Linked DNA regions of Ovis aries. The protein of the gene in region 1 purifies or fractionates together with the protein of each later gene. This does not show direct contact. Links are inferred from orthologs where the notes say so. Each region holds a gene or a part of one and is shown on either strand. Other genes may lie near its edges.

Evidence for each region.
Region 2: the proteins of SLC39A7 (region 1) and FAM174A purify together in Homo sapiens (co-immunoprecipitation; 3 studies listed by BioGRID and IntAct, with this or other methods). This does not show direct contact. The link is inferred for Ovis aries from reciprocal best matches to the Homo sapiens genes SLC39A7 and FAM174A.

Annotation. Positions count from the first base shown.
Region 1 is NC_056073.1:7,539,576-7,544,173, reverse strand, and holds the start of SLC39A7 (zinc transporter SLC39A7), read right to left. Parts: upstream 2,880-4,598; 5' UTR 2,831-2,879; intron 2,528-2,830; 5' UTR 2,524-2,527; coding exon 2,113-2,523; exon of another isoform or gene 2,024-2,112; coding exon 1,855-2,023; exon of another isoform or gene 1,698-1,854; coding exon 1,644-1,697; exon of another isoform or gene 1,511-1,643; coding exon 1,346-1,510; exon of another isoform or gene 1,195-1,345; coding exon 1,054-1,194; exon of another isoform or gene 848-1,053; coding exon 651-847; exon of another isoform or gene 1-650. Other genes in the region: RXRB (retinoic acid receptor RXR-beta), read left to right, coding at 3,295-3,526, 4,187-4,434. UniProt on the Homo sapiens protein: Transports Zn(2+) from the endoplasmic reticulum (ER)/Golgi apparatus to the cytosol, playing an essential role in the regulation of cytosolic zinc levels.
Region 2 is NC_056058.1:97,364,989-97,369,451, reverse strand, and holds the start of FAM174A (membrane protein FAM174A), read right to left. Parts: upstream 2,931-4,463; 5' UTR 2,738-2,930; coding exon 2,295-2,737; intron 1-2,294.

The DNA.
Region 1 (4,598 bases):
AAGACCCCTATACTATTCAGATGGTTTCTGGATTACAGCTCAAGAACTACTGAACTGCAAGACAAACATAACTTCTTCCTTTTCACTACTAGAGGATCCACTGTCACCAATACAGGCATACCTCAGAGATACTGTGAGTTCAGTCCCAGACCATCACAATAAAGCAAGTCACATGAATTTTTTAGCTTCCCAGTGCATGTAAGTTATATTTACACTATCCTGTAAGTGTGCAGTAGCATTATACCTACAATGTAAGAGCTTAATTAAAAAATACCGATTAAAAAAGGCTAACCATCACCTAAGCCTTCAGCAAGTTGCAATCTTTTTGCTATAGTAACAGCAAAGATCACAGATCAAGGTAACAGTAATGAAAATGCTTGAAATGTTGCAAGAACTACCAAACTGTGACTCAGATGTGAAGTAAACAAACAGTGTTGGAAGAAAGGTATCAAAAGACTTGCTCAACAGAGTGTTGCTACAAATTTGTAAAAAATGCAGTATCTGCTAAGTGCAATACAGAAACACAATAAAACAAAGTATGCCTGTAGTACAATTTGTTTCAAACTCATGAGTGGCAGTCTGGTTTGGGGCTAGGTGAGCAGAGGGTAAAGGGCTTGAGGTAACCATGTTTGGTGTACACCATCACCAACCTGCTTTTTGCTGCAGCCAGACTGGACCAAGATGGCAAAGTCTCCGACTTCATGGGGCACCTCATGTAGCAGAACAGTCATTGTGGTCAGGATCCCCAGCCCCCGGCCCCCTCGAAATGAAGCACCAATGGCTAGACCATCCGTGAAGTTGTGTGCCAGGTCTGCAGCCAAGTTCAGGTACCCTGATACACGTAGGTCTTTTATAGGAGAAAGGGAAGATGAAAGAGTTAGAGGCATTCATCACCCCTAGTCCCAGCCGTGATCAACCATTATCACATCTCCCCGAGAGACCAGTTCATATCCAGCCCTAGTATTTCCCAGACACCTGCCATCACCCACAGCGCTATTTCCAGCAATTCACAACTATGTCTCTGGCCCAAGCCTATGGAACCCTGGCTCTCACCTGACCCTGCTTTCTCCTCTTCAGCGTTCTGAGGTCTCACTGGCCCATCTTTGGGCCTTGTACTCCCCCCTCTCCTCTTCCTCAATGCCCCTGCCTCCTTTTCTTCTTCCTCTGAGCTCTGTTTCTCCTTCGAAGAACGCTCTGTACGTGAAAAAAGGAATTGGTGTAAGCGGAGAACAAAGATCTGCCAATATATCCTCACAAGGCTAGTCTCCTCCCACTTCAGAACCTTCAAATGAGGAGATCCAAAGGTAGGCAATGTGGCTTTCAGAAAAATTGTTCCTGGGCTCACCCTGTCTTCCATGTTCATGACTTTCATGTGTGTGACCATGAGCATGTCCATGTCCGTGACTGTGTCCATGTCCTCCTTTTACATGTCTCACAAATTTCTCCACCACAAGAAAGGCGACAATTCCACTGAGGACCCACAGTCCTACAGAGAGAATGGGGCCCTGGCCTGGGAATAGATGCATTGAGACATTAAGGGAGATGTGGATTCTGGACTCTTCCTCCCCACGCATAGGAGAAGAACAGGAGAGATAGACCTTCTCCAGCACCCCAACCCGTGTCTCCACCCGCCCCTTCCTCACCACTGTGGGAATGTCCATGTCCTGGCTGCTCCAGAGGGTGGTGAGAATGAGGTTCTGGAAGAAGAGGGAGAAAAGGCCAGATGAGGGAACCAAGCAAGGGGTGTGTATTTGCAGGAACACTAGAAGGTGAAGGGTCACAAAGGGGAAAGAACAGTCTTGCCCAAAGACTAAAATTCATTAAGATTTGAGGTAGAAGCTAAAGATCACTTACCCAAAGCATGAGGAATGAGGTGCAGGAAAGCATCTCCCAAGAGCCCACCAGAAGCAAAACTCAGCAAGATCTGGAGCAAAGAGCGGTGGCGAGCGGAGTTTGACTCCACAGGGATAAGAAAGAGGACGAAAAATGGAGCTGCAGAGATCAGCACCGTGGCCCCCAGTGCCTGGTGAGGGAGAGTCAGGGGTTAAGAGGTGTGGGGTTTCCCAACAATACAGCATCAGCCTCCCTCTGCCCCATCCCCAGGGGACTCACATAGGCCCAGAGAGTGACAGTGTCCAGGTCCTGCTTGACGCCTAGAGCCCCAGACTCCCCATAGCCTCCATGACTGTGCTCATGGTCATGTCCGTGTCCTCGGTGGTGGAGGCTCTCATGGGAGTGGCCGTGACTATGGCCATGGTGCAAATCCTCGTGTGCATGTCCGTGGTCGTGAGCGTGGGTATGCCCATGCCAGATGCTCTCGTGAGTGTGGCCGTGGCCATGGGCATGGCTGTGTCCGTGGTGGAAATCCTCATGTGAGTGCCTGTGGCTGTGGCCGTGGAAGTCCTCGTGCAGGTCTTCGTAAAGGTCTCCATGACCCCCGTGTCCGGCCACTAGCAGCCCCAAGGCCGCCCAGGTCAGCAGTCCCACGGCCACCCAGCGGGGGCCCCCCAGGCCTCTGGCCATCACGCTGACCAGAGGGACAGAGACAGTGACTCCACTTGGCCCTCACTTCTACACCCATGAGGGGTCCGCTTTACTCCGTTCGCGCCCACCGTCCACTTCTATGGGCCGCTCCCCCATTCCGTTCTGTCCCCACCCACATTGTTCCCGAGACTCTATCCCGAACCCCTTCCCTGATACAGGGCCCCCGGGACTCCGCTCTAGGCTTCGATCCTCCACTTTATGGACTCTCTGGGCTCTCGTCTCTATGACCCGCAAGGTGAGGAAAAGGGCCTGGAAAGGACAGTAGAGAAAAGCAGGGAATTCTCACCGGCTCCGGGATCCTCTCCTTTCCCGGTTTACTCGGACGTGGCAGTCCCGCCCCTAGCTCCCGCGAGAACTTGGGAGTCCCGTTCTACCTCGGTCCCAGCACCTTTACCAATATGGCCGCACTCCGGGTGGCGGGGATGCGGACCAGCCTTGGCGCGCATGCGCGGACGTGGAGGTTATTTAAGGGGATGCCTGGCGAGACTGGCTAACAGGCTGGAGAAGACCGCCTCCTCCGTTTCCAACTAGACGAGGGGGCGGGAACTAGCGCGAAGACTTCCCGTCTATACCAAGATGGCTGCCACACTGGCGCTGTCATTTTGGTACAGGGCCGGGCGAAGCGCTTAGTTTGACCCGGTTGAAGCCAGAGTCGTTTCCTCTGGGGCTTCCTCGTGCTCGGCTCGTCCCCCCGAGCGGTCCTCGGCAACCCCTGGTGCCGCTCGGCGTCCCTACACTCAGCTGGGAGTCATGTCTTGGGCTGCGCGCCCGCCCTTCCTCCCCCAGCGGCATGCCGCAGGGCAGTGTGGGCCGGTGGGGGTGCGAAAAGAAATGCATTGTGGGGTCGCGTCCCGGTGGCGGCGGCGGCGGCCCTGGCTGGATCCCGCGGCGGCGGCGGCGGCGGCGGCGGCCGGAGGACAGCAGGCCCCGGAGCCGGAGCCGGGGGAGGCTGGACGGGACGGGATGGGCGACAGCGGGCGGGGTGAGTGAGCCCGCAGACGGGCCCGGGCGCCGAGACCCCGACACCGGCGGCCCCTTCCCCCTCCCGGGCGCTCTCCCGGGCGCCCCCGCCCCCTTGTTTGTAAACACGCGTCCCCTCCTCCCGGGGGCCGCAGTGCCCTGCCCCCGGGGCGGGGCGGCCAGGGGGCGCTTCCGCTCTCCCAGCGGCGGCCGCCGGAGGCCCGGCTGCCCCGCTGTCCCCGGCGCAGGGCCCCGGTCCTCGAGCCTGAGGACCCTGGACATTGGGAGGCGAGTTCCGCGCCCTCGGCGGGGTCTCTCTCCCCTGCACGTTCGGGCGGCGAGCTGGGAGTGCAGAGGCTGGCGGGTTCCCCCCACGTGCTGCCCCACCCACACGAGACGCCTCCGGCCTGGGGTGGCCAAATTCACTATTTGGAGCTTGCCTCCCCTCAGCTCTCCTCTTGTTTATCAGCCCCCTCCTCCCACCACGATTAGGGGTTCAGCCCTTGTTTGGCAGTAGGCTGCCTCTGGACTTGGGAACGGGTGGAATGGGGGCGCGGTGGGGAAATCAGAGAGAAAGAATGGAAGTCTCCCGTTGGGCGATCCAAGACTCATTTTCTCTTTTTGTCTCTCCTGTCTCTGTGTGTCTGTGCCTGTGTGTACCCTCCCTCACCACCCCCCCCAGACTCGCGGAGCCCAGACAGTTCCTCCCCAAATCCCCTTCCCCAGGGGGCCGCTCCCCCTTCTCCTCCCGGACCACCCTTACCCCCTTCAGCAGCTGCGTCCCTTGGAGGTTCTGGGGCTCCACCCCCACCCTCGATGCCACCCCCACCACTGGGCTCCCCCTTCCCAGTTATCAGCTCTTCCATGGGGTCCCCCGGCCTGCCCCCTCCAGCTCCCCCAGGATTCTCCGGGCCTGTCAGCAGTCCCCAGGTGAGAGGTTGTGACCCACTTAACTGCCGCTCCGCTTTCGTTTCCTTGTTTTCCTCCTGACTCCAGATCCTTGTATGAACTTCCCTGGTCCCCTGAACTTCTAGTCTTGGCAGGCTTGTGGTCCTTGTGAAACCCCTGGCCCTTCCTGAGGTGCCACTGAGCTT
Region 2 (4,463 bases), on another chromosome or scaffold:
TGTTAATGTCTGGCTTAAATAGAGAGAACGAGATAGAAAATGAAGAGAGAGAAATTAGAAAAATAGGAAACTGCTAGATTTTCATATCTGCTTCAGCCTTCAATCATTTGCTATGCGTTGTCTAGTTGAAGGATGTGAAGAAAATCCAGGTACAGTAGATGTGAGCTTGGAAAATGGAGGTACATTTTAATAGCTTTTCAGATTCTGGTGTTAACATTTTTTTTTTGATAGAACACCAAAACGCGACAAGAGTTAGTTTCTTATGAGTTAGCTGCACTGCGGAATTTGAAACTATTATCAATAAACTTCTTGGGTCCTATAAACTTATAGTGAAGTCACTCAGTCATATCTGACTCTTTGCGACCCCATGGACTGTAGCCTACCAGGCTCCTCCGTCCATGGGATTTTCCCGACATGAATACTGGAGTGGGTTGCCATTTCCTTCTCCAGGAGATCTTCCCAACTCAGGGATTGAACCCCGGTCTCCGGCATTGTAGGCAGATGCTTTACTGTCTAAGCCACCAGGGAAGTCATAAACTTATAAGGGAATGTATTATTTTGAAAATAGTTTCAATATTGCAGATACCTGAACAGGTCTCAGAGAACCCTACCACCCTCCAGGGTTCCCTGTTACGCTGTGCTTTTTCAGTTAGTTATTTAAGCCAAGGAATGTTCGCTTAAATAATGTTTTTCACTCACAAAATAATAAACAGATATGTTTAAAAGGAAACTTTAAGTAAATCCATTTAAAGAAATATATGAAATGGTTGAAGGTAGGCAGTTATAGGGGAGAAAAAAAGTGAAATAATTTGGAAAACAAACCAGTACCTTCCCACACAACTACCTCTACCGCAGTAAATAGGAGGGAACTACCTAGAGCTTCCTTAGCTCTTCTCTCGGCTTCTTCTAACAGCGAGTTCTTAGCTCTGCATTTCAACGCTTCAGAGGTGGTCCCCAACTCAATTAAAGAGGCTTTATCATGACTTTTCCAAATCGGTCTCATTACATATTTGGCATGTTATAATACCATGATTCATGCCATAATATAACTTTACTTCTGTAACAATAGAACGTATCAAGTGGAAGTTACTTACGACAATATAAAATATCACCAATTGACCTATATAATTCCTTTTCTACTTGATAAGGCATTAAAGGGAGTAGAAAAATAAGTGATAGTCATTTACTTATTCATAACCTGGTACAATGTAAGGACCTGATTTAATCAAAAGGCTGATCACAGATTTGGACACAAACATCATGGAAAAAAATTCAAACGAAGCAAATGATGGATTGTACAATCAGTGATGATTATTATATATCGTGGGACATCACTTTATTCTCCTAGGTTAGTTTTATCCTAGGTAAAGTTAAAGACGTGGTTTAAGTGTCCATATTTGTAACAAATCTGAAATTTAACTAATTCTCTAACATTCTATATTAAGAATAAGCTCAAAAAACTATTCATTTGTAACTTTAAGCTTCTGAATGACTTAGAATTATTTACAGATGAATTCATTTTAGAAAAGCTTTTTGGAAGTTTAAAAAAAGTAAGTCTATCCATTTACTAATCCAAATTTTGTAAAGTTAAAACATATATAGTTGTTAAGATATTAAACATACTCTCCAATATTATAACGGGATCATATTTATGACTTTTTTCCCTTTGCTGCACAGGTATCAGTTTTCCACCTTATCAAGAAATTGGTAATATTTCACACCATATTATTTCAGTTCAGTCGCTCAGACTCTTTGCGACCCCATGGACTGCAGCACGCCATGCCTCCCTGTCCATCACCAACTCCCGGAGTTTACTCAAACTCATGTCCATTATTTAGTGTCATGCAAAATGAATGCTAGATGTTTCTAATGGGGACTCTAACAATGATTGAACCTACGCAGTTGTCAGTTTCCAGGTTCAGAAAAGGTGGAAAGCAAGAAACTTCATAAGGTACAACCGATGGTGGCAAGTTAAAAGTCAACAGCAGGAAACTGCTGTTAAAAGAACTTCTTTTTTCCATTTTATAAATCATCCTTAAAGATCATTCTGCATTACTATCAATTTACTCAAATAAATATTGATATAGAGGTTCGGTGCTAATTGATAGTTTACACATGAAAAGGGAGGCAGCACGAACTTGGCGGTCTGAACACTCCCAAAGGTACCACAGGCTTTCAAGACAGTCCTCGTCACAATCTCACTCAGCAGGCACCGTGACTGAGGGGGTGGGAGGAGGTCGGCAGACAAGCGCGCCTCAGGCCTGCCGGGGAGGCTCGCGGAGGCTTCGCCTCACCTGACCGTCCTGACGACGAAGTACACCAGCACCGCGCCGCTCACCACCATCAGCACGGTCAGGGCCCGCTGGGTCATGGGCTTGTCGCCGGGGTCGGGGCTCACGGCCAGGACGCCGCCCGCCGGGCCCCCGGCCCCCGCCTTCCCGCCAGGGTCGTCGGCGGCCGGCCCCGCCCCGGGCGTGCTGCCATTGCCGCCCTCGGCTCCCCGCGAGCCCGCGGCTTCCAAGGCCGGAGCGCGGCCCGCGGGCCGGGCGGCGGAGGGCCCGGGCGGCGGAGGCGGCCGGGTGCGCGGCCCGCGCGCCGCGGGCTGGGGGTCGGGCGCGGCCCGCGCTGCCGGCGGCCGTCCCGCGGAGGGCCCGCTCAATTCGGGCAGCAGCAGGGACAGCAGGAGCGCCGAGGCCAGGGCGCGGCTGAGGCAGCAGCTGCAGAGCGTCGGCTGCATGGTCCGCGGCCGGCTCCCTCACCGCGCGCGAGCTCCGGCGCCCGCCGCCCTGGCTCCAGGCGGGACCATGGGCGTGTTAACTGAAGAGACGGGGGAGAAACGCTGACTGAGGCCCGGGCGAAGACCTGGCCCGCCGCAGGTGGCGGAGGCGGCAGCTGCAGCTGCTGTCGACAACCGGAAGTTCGTACATCTCAGCAGCCCCCTGCTACTAGGGACGCTCCCGGTTGCTAACCTTCCGGGGCTGGCGCGTTCCGTGACGTCAGGCGCGTGAGACCGTTTGCGCCCCGCGCACTTCCGGAAGTCGAGGGGAGGGAGCCTGCGGTTTGCTCCCTAGAAGGAAAGCAAACGGGAAGAGAGTTGTGTCAAGTGTGCAGCAACGCTTTGCGGGAAGAATCCAGGAGAGAGTGGAAGCTTGTAATATGAGTTCGTTGGTGCAAAACTGAAGAAATACAACCAGTTACTTATTAAAGACTGCCTTGGCGTTTCCCTCAGCTCAGGTACATATTTTACTAGACTGGGTTGTTAGGTCACTAGAAAAAAAGTAAACAGTTGTGTCAAGTGTGCAGCAACTCTTTGCAGGAAGAAACCAGGAGAGATTGGAAGTTCATCTTTTGAGTTCGTTGGTGCAAAAGTGCAGAAACACGGCCAATCATTTATTAAAGACCACCTTGACGTTTCCCTCAGCTCAGGTACACATTTTACTAGACAGGGAGGTTGGCGCACTAGAAAGAAAGGAAAAAGTTGTGTCAAGTGTGCAACTCTTTGCAGGAAGAAACCGGGAAAGAGTGGAAGCTCATACTTTGAGTTTTTTGGTGCAAAACTGCATAAATACAGCTAATCATTTATTAAAGACCGCCTTGACGTTTCCCTCAGCTCAGGTACACATTTTATCAGGTATTTTTTTCCTGCCTCTGGGTCCTTGACCTCCCTTTCCTTAGAGCGTTACGTTAGAAAACTGTTAACTGTAGCAATAATTGGTACAGGTATTGGTAACTGGTAATTGATTCTCTGCATTTTGGGGATATAAATCTTTTTAAAAGTTCTTTCCCGTGTTACAACCCAGGGCTGTCTTTCTTGAACTAGGAGTCATCCTTTTAAAATGGCAGAAAAGGAGACAGCACCCGTAACTCCCAGTCTCCTTGGAAGCATAGAAGCCTAAGTTAGGCAGGCGCTTTGTTTCAAGTTGTAAAACTGCCTCCCGTCACGAAGCTTAGAGAAATTTTACTTTTCCTTTGTGAAGGCTTCCCTAGTAGCTCAGATGGTAAAGCATCCGCCTGCAGTGCAGGAGACCCGGATTCAACCCCTGCGTTGGGAAAATCCCCTGAAGAAGGAAATGGCAACCCACCCAAGTATCATTGCCTGGAAAATCCCATGGACAGAGGAGCCTGGTGGGCTACAGTGCATGAGGTCAAAAAGAGTCGGAATTTCCTTTGGGTAAACAGAACTGACCTGAGAGTTTTCCTACTCTTAAAATATCTTAAGCTTTCTGTTGAATTGAGTTCAGACAGAGTCCTGGCCCCTCTTTTCTGTTGTGATCGTCTTGAATAAGTCTCTGCCTGTTTAACTTTGACATCAGTAATATGGAACTTTGGGGTGACCAGATTATAAACAAAAACAACAGACCAGAAATTGAAGTTAGGATCTGTTCTTTTAAAAACTTCCTCATTCAACAAATTTTTTAGACTTTCTACTCCTTCAGAACTGTATTTGAGTATTGAACAGTAGA